Linked DNA regions of Macaca fascicularis. The protein of the gene in region 2 interacts with the protein of the main gene of each other region in a biochemical or structural test. Links are inferred from orthologs where the notes say so. Each region holds a gene or a part of one and is shown on either strand. Other genes may lie near its edges.

Evidence for each region.
Region 1: the proteins of UPF2 (region 2) and UPF3A form a complex in vitro, tested with the Homo sapiens proteins (2 studies listed by IntAct, with this or other methods). The link is inferred for Macaca fascicularis from reciprocal best matches to the Homo sapiens genes UPF2 and UPF3A.

The regions. Positions count from the first base shown.
Region 1 is NC_088391.1:104,525,510-104,529,319, reverse strand, and holds part of UPF3A (regulator of nonsense transcripts 3A), read right to left. Parts: intron 1,721-3,810; exon of another isoform or gene 1,718-1,720; coding exon of another isoform or gene 1,678-1,717; coding exon 1,579-1,677; intron 1,459-1,578; coding exon 1,348-1,458; intron 692-1,347; coding exon of another isoform or gene 468-691; exon of another isoform or gene 336-467; intron 1-335. UniProt on the Homo sapiens protein: Involved in nonsense-mediated decay (NMD) of mRNAs containing premature stop codons by associating with the nuclear exon junction complex (EJC) and serving as link between the EJC core and NMD machinery.
Region 2 is NC_088383.1:12,953,820-12,958,062, reverse strand, and holds the start of UPF2 (regulator of nonsense transcripts 2), read left to right. Parts: upstream 1-1,302; 5' UTR 1,303-1,648; intron 1,649-1,720; exon of another isoform or gene 1,721-1,807; intron 1,808-4,243. UniProt on the Homo sapiens protein: Involved in nonsense-mediated decay (NMD) of mRNAs containing premature stop codons by associating with the nuclear exon junction complex (EJC).

The DNA.
Region 1 (3,810 bases), on a different chromosome or scaffold from region 2:
CCCATCTCCACAAAAATATAAAAATTAGCCGGGCATGATGGCAGGTGCCTGTAATCCCAGCTAGTCAGTAGGCTGAGGCAGAATTGCTTGAACCCAGAAGGCAGACGTTGCAGTGAGCTGAGATTGTGCCACTGCACTCCAGCCTGGGCAACAGAGTGAGGCCCCGTCTCAGAAAAAAAAAAAAAAAGCTTTATTATTAGACAAATGAAGAAAGTGAGTGGACTATTTCAATAACATTGACCTTTCTTATTAATTCAATCAACATTTACAAAATTCCTGAACTTTTCTTTTCTGTGTGGCAACTGTGAAGATGAAAATATAGTTCCACTGGGGAAACCAAACGAGGGAGTTTATGTGGTGGGAGACGGACAATGTGGCTGTCATGACACATCAATTTCTTTTGTTTGTTTTTTGAGATGGAGTCTCGCTCTGTCGCCCAGGTTGGAGTGCAGTGGTGTGATCTCAGCTCACTGCAAACTCCGCCTCCTGGGTTCAAGCGATTCTCCTGCCTCAGCCTCCCGAGTAGCTGGAACTACAGCCGCCCACCACCATGCCCACCTGAGTTTTTGTATCTTTAGTAGAGACGGGGTTTCACCACGTCGACCAGCCTGATCTCGAACTCCTGACCTTGTGACCCGCCCGCCTTGGCCTCCCAAAGTACATTCCTCTTGATGGGGGGGCAGGGCACAGCCTGGGTGGGAGAGGTGAGGGGTGAAGAACGGGGGCTTTGAGGAAAGGAGATCCACAGAGAGGAGAAACACTTCCAGGTGTGTCTGGGACTAAACGACAACTGTCTGCCTGATTTTCACGTCAGTGCTACGGAGAACTATTTCTAAAGTACACGACTTGTGGGCATGGGGTGGAAGGCTGGATTTAAACTCGATTCTGTGCTCTGGCCGGGCTTATCCACAAGCTGGCTTGGCTTGGCTCAGGGAGCCTGGCATTGCTGTTGAAGAGCAGCAAGATGACCTCACCACGAGCAAAACATCTCATTCCTACGGGCTCCTGAGGCATCCGTCTGTGACCACTGACTTCAACTCTGCGACACAACGCGCTTTCCCTGACGCTGTCAGGCACATGCCATTCATGTGTCTTCGCCACTGCTCATTCCGAAGCATCACAACTTAAAAGGATCGTAACTAAAAAAATCACGTGCTCTCCATCAACCAATGCTCAGAAATATTTTCCCATGCGGCCATCTTGCCATTCTTTTGTCAAAACTGGAAATTACTCTACATTTCTGCCAAGCCTGTAACAAGTTTCAACTTATCACAATCAAGAAAAAAAAAAGTATATCCTCTACGAGTAAATCTCTCAATAAAGAAAAGAGAAGAAATGAGCACAGACCAATGAGCTCTCTTGTCTTCGCCTCCATCTCCCCCAGCAGAGTCTCAGGGTTGGTGCTGGTCTTCTCTTCCTCCACACAGTAAGTTTCTAAAAACTTCTTATATTCTGGATCTAGACATTAAAAAAAACAGAAAGAAAATAAATATAATCTTTCCCATCTACAGGAGAATTACATTTGCTCAGTGTTCTTAATTTGGCAGCTTCATAATGTAGCACTTGGAAAGGGCTCACCATCTTCGATGCTTCCAGTCTTGGCATCTTTTTTTTTCAGCTTCTTTTTGGCTATCTTCTGGAACGGAGCAAACTCTACCACTGCAGGATATTCTAGGCCTTTTAACAGGAAACATGTTCCAGAAGCCATTCTGAAATTCTACTACATTCATTTTAGAAAATAATGACCTAGCTTACTTAAAGAGTAAGTGTAACAATGACAATGTATTATTACTATTTAAACTATAATTCATCCTTCCAGTAAGAGATTAAAAAAAAAAAATTTAAAAACCTACAATTACATTTTCAAGCACCTGCAACTTTCACATGGCAAACTCCAGACTAAAACAAGGATGAACTCATGGTAGGAAGAACAATTATTTATTAAACAAAACAATCCATCATGTTGTGGTGGTTGTGTAACTGAATTTGTTCAAAATTCATCAAATTGTTCACTTTAAAAGGGTGACTTCTACCATATATAACTTACACCTCAATAAACCTGACCTCCCCAGCCCCATCCCAAATAATTTATTGTTGGAATACCTTTAAATAATCAGATTTCTTAACTACGTTTTACATTTTATTTTAAAAGGTTAATTCAACTATCAATTTGTTATTTAAGTTTAAGAAAATTACTTTGCTTAGAGGACACCATGGCTAAAATTGAGAGCTTCAAAGGGTTTATAGAATATTCCAGGTGAAATCTGCTTCTGATAAAAGTAGAGAATGGAAGCCATTAGAAACTAACTTTGTTGCTATGTGGGGGAAAAATGAATACACAAAGAGAAATGTTCACTAAGAGAACCTGCTATATGCCAAATCATCAAATGGAACACTGCTACCTTGGTACTAAACCCACTGAGTCATTTTTAGACTTGTCAGTAATGGTCAGGTGACTGAATTATAACTCCCTTATCTGGGAGCCATTTTTGTGCCAACCTCCACTATCCAGAATAAAGTCAGAATCAGGGAGACAGTAGGGCACTGGACCAGCAGGGATGATGTCCAAGTCACCGCTCCACCCACAAGGCCTAGCACACAGTGGATACTCATTCAATGGCAGATGACATAGTCCCTGATTCCAAAGCTAAAAGTAATCAGTGTGGTACTGCCACACAGACAGACACATCCATCGAGGGAATAAAATAAAGAGCCCAGAAAGAAACCTTTGTAATATTTGGTCAACTGATTTTTGAAAAGGGTGCCCAGACCATTCAATGGGGAAAAGAAAGTCTTTTCAACAGCTAGTGCTGGGAAAACTGGATATCCATAGCGAGAAGAATGAAGTTGGACCCTTACCTAACACCATATACAAAAAGTAACTCGAAAAGGATCAAACCTAAATATAAGACCTGAAACCATAAAACACTTAGGAAAAAACACAGGGGAAAAAGCTCCACGGCAATGGATTTGGCAATGGGTTTTTGCATATGACATCAAAAGCACAGGCTTAGGCCAGAGACCATCAAAACAACGGCGGGGCGGCCGTTCACGCCTGTAGCCCAGCACTTTGGGAGGCCAAGGTGGGGGAAATCGCTTGATACCAGCCTGGGCAACTTAGCGAGACCCCGTCTCTATTTAAAAAACTAAACAACAACAACAAAGTAGAACCGGAAATAAGGACTGACTTGCTCACTACTGGTGGGAATGTAAAATGGCACAGTTGCTGTGGAAAACAGTACGGTATAAATTTTGTGACTTTTCTTGAGACAGAGTCTCGCTCTGTCACCAAGGCTAGAATGTAGTGACACCTCGGCTCACTGCAACTTCTGCCTCCCAGGTTCAAGTGATTCTCATACCTCAGTCTCCCAAGTAGCTGAGATTACAGGCACGCACAATGACGGCTGGCTAATTTTTTTATTTTTAGTAGAGACAGGGTTTTACCATCCTGGCCAGGCTGGTCTCAAACTCCTGACCTCAAGCGATCTGCCCGCCTTAGCCTCCCAAAGTGCTGGGATTACAGGAGTGAGCCATCACACCTGGCCATGTTACATATATTTTACATATATACACACACACACATATATATACGTACATACACATACGTATTTTTTCACTCCGTCGCCCAGGCTGGGAGGCAGTGGCATGATCTCAGCTCACTGCAACCTCCGCCTCCCGGGTTCAAGCAATTCTCCTGTCTCAGTCTTCTGAGTACCTGGGACTAGAGGTGCCTGCCACCACGCCTGGCTAATTTTTGAATTTTTAGTAGAGATGGGGTTTCACGTTGTTGCTCAGGCCGGTCTCAAACTC
Region 2 (4,243 bases):
CCCGAGTAGCTGGGATTACAGGCGCTCGCCACCACGTCAGGCTAATTTTCTATTTTTAGTAGAGACGGGGTTTCACCATGTTGGGGCCAGGCTGGTCTGGAACTCCTGACCTCAGGTGATCCACCAGCCTCGGCCTCCCAAAGTGCTGAGAATACGGGCATGAGGCACCATGTCTGGCCAGAGGTAAAGCTTCTTAAGGTAATCCGACAAAATGAGAAAAAGAGACCTTGAAGAGAAGTGTGGGTGGCTATCACCAACATGGTATTTGGGGGCAGTTCTCATCATTGTTTATCAAGGCTGCAGAATAGCTGTATTCACCTTTCTCTTTTACTACCCTTTAAATGATTGACCTATGTGTAGTGTGTATTTTTTTAAAATACAGGAAGCAGCAACACTCAGTATGAGAGGATAATTTGCGTGCTAAGAGTAAATGGGGAAGCAAACAGTAAATAGAGACAAACGGGCAAAGGTTGAGTCATAGGGAACCTGGACTTGCCTCAAGTATTTGTGGTTGGTAGTAGCTCATTATGTGTGCCTAGACACCAGGTGGGGCCCCCGCAGGCCAAGCAAACGTCAAGACCAGTTTCGCACCCTTGTTCCTCTAGCTCCGGACCAGCCAGAGCCACCTACTCGGATCATGTTCGCAGAACCCAGCACTGTTTCGAGGCCAGATGCACCATTTCAGAAATTCAGTGGGAAATAAGCAGTGTGGATAAACTGATACCCCATTTTTAAAAGTCGGCCTGGGTTCGCATTCAGAAGAAATGTCGACGCTAGCCATTTTTTTTATAAATGGGTGATTTGATAACTCAGGGAGGTCTTTCCACTGTAATAAAAATTTGCTTGTTAGAACTGGGTGTTTTCTAAGAAGTGTATGGAAAAAGCCTTGATTCGTCTTCGCCCTGGGTGGTTTTTACGTCGAACACCTACAACTGCTACAGAAATCCCCCCGCGGGACTTTTGATGTCTTCTAGGGCATTCTTAAAACTAGACCCATTCCTAAGCGACTCCCACCTCCCAAACCAGCCATATGCTTTAGTTTCTCCAGTTTCCAATTTTCTAAATCTTCAACGTCTCCCCTCGAATTAGTCCAATCAAACTTTCTCTTCTTAGACCTCTTCCTTACGTTCGCACCAGGAAACTCCCAGGAGAATCACGTGCCCAGGCTTGTCCTTAATGGCGCTCCGTAACCCTCCCACTATTCCACCACCCTTCCTCGCCTCCCGTGAGCTCCGCCCCGCCCCATTCGCGCTTCCCACCCCCATCCCCCGCGAAGTGCTTGCGCCTGCGCAGCTCCAATTCAGGCGCTTTCCCTTTCCTGGCGACCAATCCACTTCCTGCCTCGGGTCCTCGGAACACTCCACCTCTCCGCTGGGGCCCTGGCTTGAGGTGCTGGTAGTGGCTACCTTACGCATTACCTGTCTGAAAAATTCGCTCTTCTCATCGACTGGGGAATTTGGAAGAGCCATTAAGTGGGTGGCACTTATATGAGCCTTTGCCTCGGACCCGCCACCCCAGAGTCAAGCTGAGGGCATCGGCATGCCGCGGGGAGGGCGATCAGGACTGTTTTTAATCGGGCAGTCGCGCGGACGGCCTTTTCCCTCTCGCCTCCTTCCGCCCCGCCCCCACTCTCAGCCCGGCCGCGCTGGTGAGTGGCGGGCGGGAGGGCCGGCGGGCGGAGGGAGGAGGGGGAGCTAAGGGAAGGCGGGCCCTCGGCTGCGAGATAGGTGGGGGGAGGGGAGGGGAGAGCCCGAGCGCTGGAGTTGGTGCTGGGAAACCCGGGGCTAATGTTGACAACAGGCTCGAGGTGAGTCCCGGGGATCCTCCTTCCCCTCCGCTCCAACGATCGGGAAGAAACGGGGCTGGGGGGCACCGGCCTAGAGTCCTACTCCCTGGGGGACCCCAGAGGCGACTCCGCACTCTAGCTCTCCGGGGTCGGCGAGCAGTGGAGGGACCGCGGGTCCGGCGTCGTTCTTCTCAGACCCCCTCTCTCCGAGGCTCCCATCAACGCGGGAGCCCCCGGGCCGGGCCGGGCATGGGGGGCGGTGGAGGAGGTGCCTGCCCCACATGCCTGGGCCGGGCCTCGGGGCTGGAGGCGGGGAGCCCGCGGTGGAGGGGCGAAGGTGTTCGGGGGCGTGGAGGAGAGCGAGGGGAGGTCGGGGGAAGCTCCTCGAGAGCCGGGAGGGAAGCGAGGGCGAGGAAGTGGGGAGGGCGCGTGTGTGGGAGGCTGCGGAGTGGGGAGACCGGCCGGGGAGGCTTCTGTGGCGAGGGAGTGTGGGGCGAGAAGTTGGGGTTGGGGCAGCGATGGTCTGCGAAGGTGACCGTGGATACCTGTGGGAAGGGGAGTTGTGGCGGGGAAGTGGTGTGGTGGGTGTAGACGTTGCCACACCACCAGAGCAGGGGTTTGTAGGAGAGGTGTGTGTAGGCGAAGGGGCTTGGGGTGTATCTGGGGATGGTGGGCATGGGCTGTTTGGTTGACTTCCTTTTAATCACATAGGCTGGTTATTCTTCACTTTGCCTTCACCCCTTCAAGACTCCAGGCACTCTCTTCTTGCTAGGACTGTTGGACTAAGGAAGTGACCACAGGATATTTGGTCCCCAGGTTGGCAGAGCAGAGCCAGCTGGGTCCACTCTGGGGTGATCGGACCTTCAGTTGCCTTGCTCTTCTTGGAGGACTTACACGACACGAAGTGATGCATCAGATCAAAGTGAAACGCTCGCTGACGCTTTATCTCATTTCCATAGTTCTTAGGTGTTCCTTAACATCGTCAGTCTCCTCATTTGTGAGCTGGGACAATTTCTAACAATTCTTAACTAAACGTCCTTTATACTAAGGATGTTCTTTAAAAAATAAAGTCAGAAACTGAGAGAGAGTGTTCCTGTGCTGTTCTGTCCTTACAACATTTTGACTAAGAATTGAAAGGTGAAACAGCATTCTCTCACTCTGGAGTATTTTCGGAGCACTCTGATTGGGATTTCATACATAACCCATATGGTACTTTGCAAGGGAATATCTTTAAAAAGGAAACACCCCCTTTTGTGCCCTCTTCCCCCCAGTACACTCCACTGGTACTTTTACTAGTAAATTAGTTTTACTTTCTTTTGGGAGTTCAGAATATATTTAGAATACCAAATAAAATATACAGTTCAAGTGACAGGACACTATTTTGGGAGCTAGGAAGGTGGTTTTAAAGCATGGTTTCCTTTTAAGGGTAGTCTGAATATAAATTGTATTCAGCAAACTAATTTGTAACAGCTAATCGGATTCCAGCGAAAAGATCACGATTTTTTCTTGTTACTATCTTGAGAAAGGACCTTTTTAAAATTGTAGTTTGGACTAGAAAAACTTTTGGAAACACTTTAGATGACAAGTTTGGCTGTTAAAGCTTGAAGTTATTGAAATAAGAATTTTAGTATTTTATTAAATATCACTTAGTGCTCAGTTTCTTTTCTTTTTTTTTTTTTTTTGAGACGGAGTCTAGCTCTGTTGCCCAGGCTGGAGTGCAGTGGCCAGATCTCAGCTCACTGCAAGCTCCGCCTCCCGGCTTTACGCCATTCTCCTGGCTCAGCCTCCCGAGTAGCTGGGACTACAGGCGCCTGCCACCTCACCCCGCTAGTTTTTTGTATTTTTTAGTAGAGACGGGGTTTCACCGTGTTAACCAGGATGGTCTCGATCTCCTGACCTTGTGATCCGCCCGTCTCGGCCTCCCAAAGTGCTGGGATTACAGGCTTGAGCCACCGCGCCCGGCCAGTGCTCAGTTTCTTAAGTGGACATAAAACAAACGTGTTTTGAGGTGAATCATGGTGTTTGTATATTTTATTCGTTTTAGTGTAGGTAGTGAAAAAGAGTACTGGGTAGTGAGTGTTGATCCAGCCATGGAAACTATCTGTGTAATCTTGGGTAGGTGACTCTGCTGCTGTCCTTGGAATGTAAAAATTGAGGATAGAAGTAGATAAAATCTAATAGTCTTTATTTGACTTTACAAATCTCTCATTGTATGCTGAACTTCTCAGTGTTCTTTGTGAGCGAACATTTATTAATGCCTCCCTCGTGCTAGTTACTATGCTAGAATTTTAAGAACTTTACAAGATAGATAGCAGTATATCCTTCTTATTGATAAATACGTGGACTCAGAGAAGTTGTTGCCTGATTTCTGTAGCTATCAGGCTGCAGAGTTGGGAGGCAGATTTAAAATCTATCGACTTCCAAGCCCATGTATGTTGTTTTCACAAGTTGCATTGC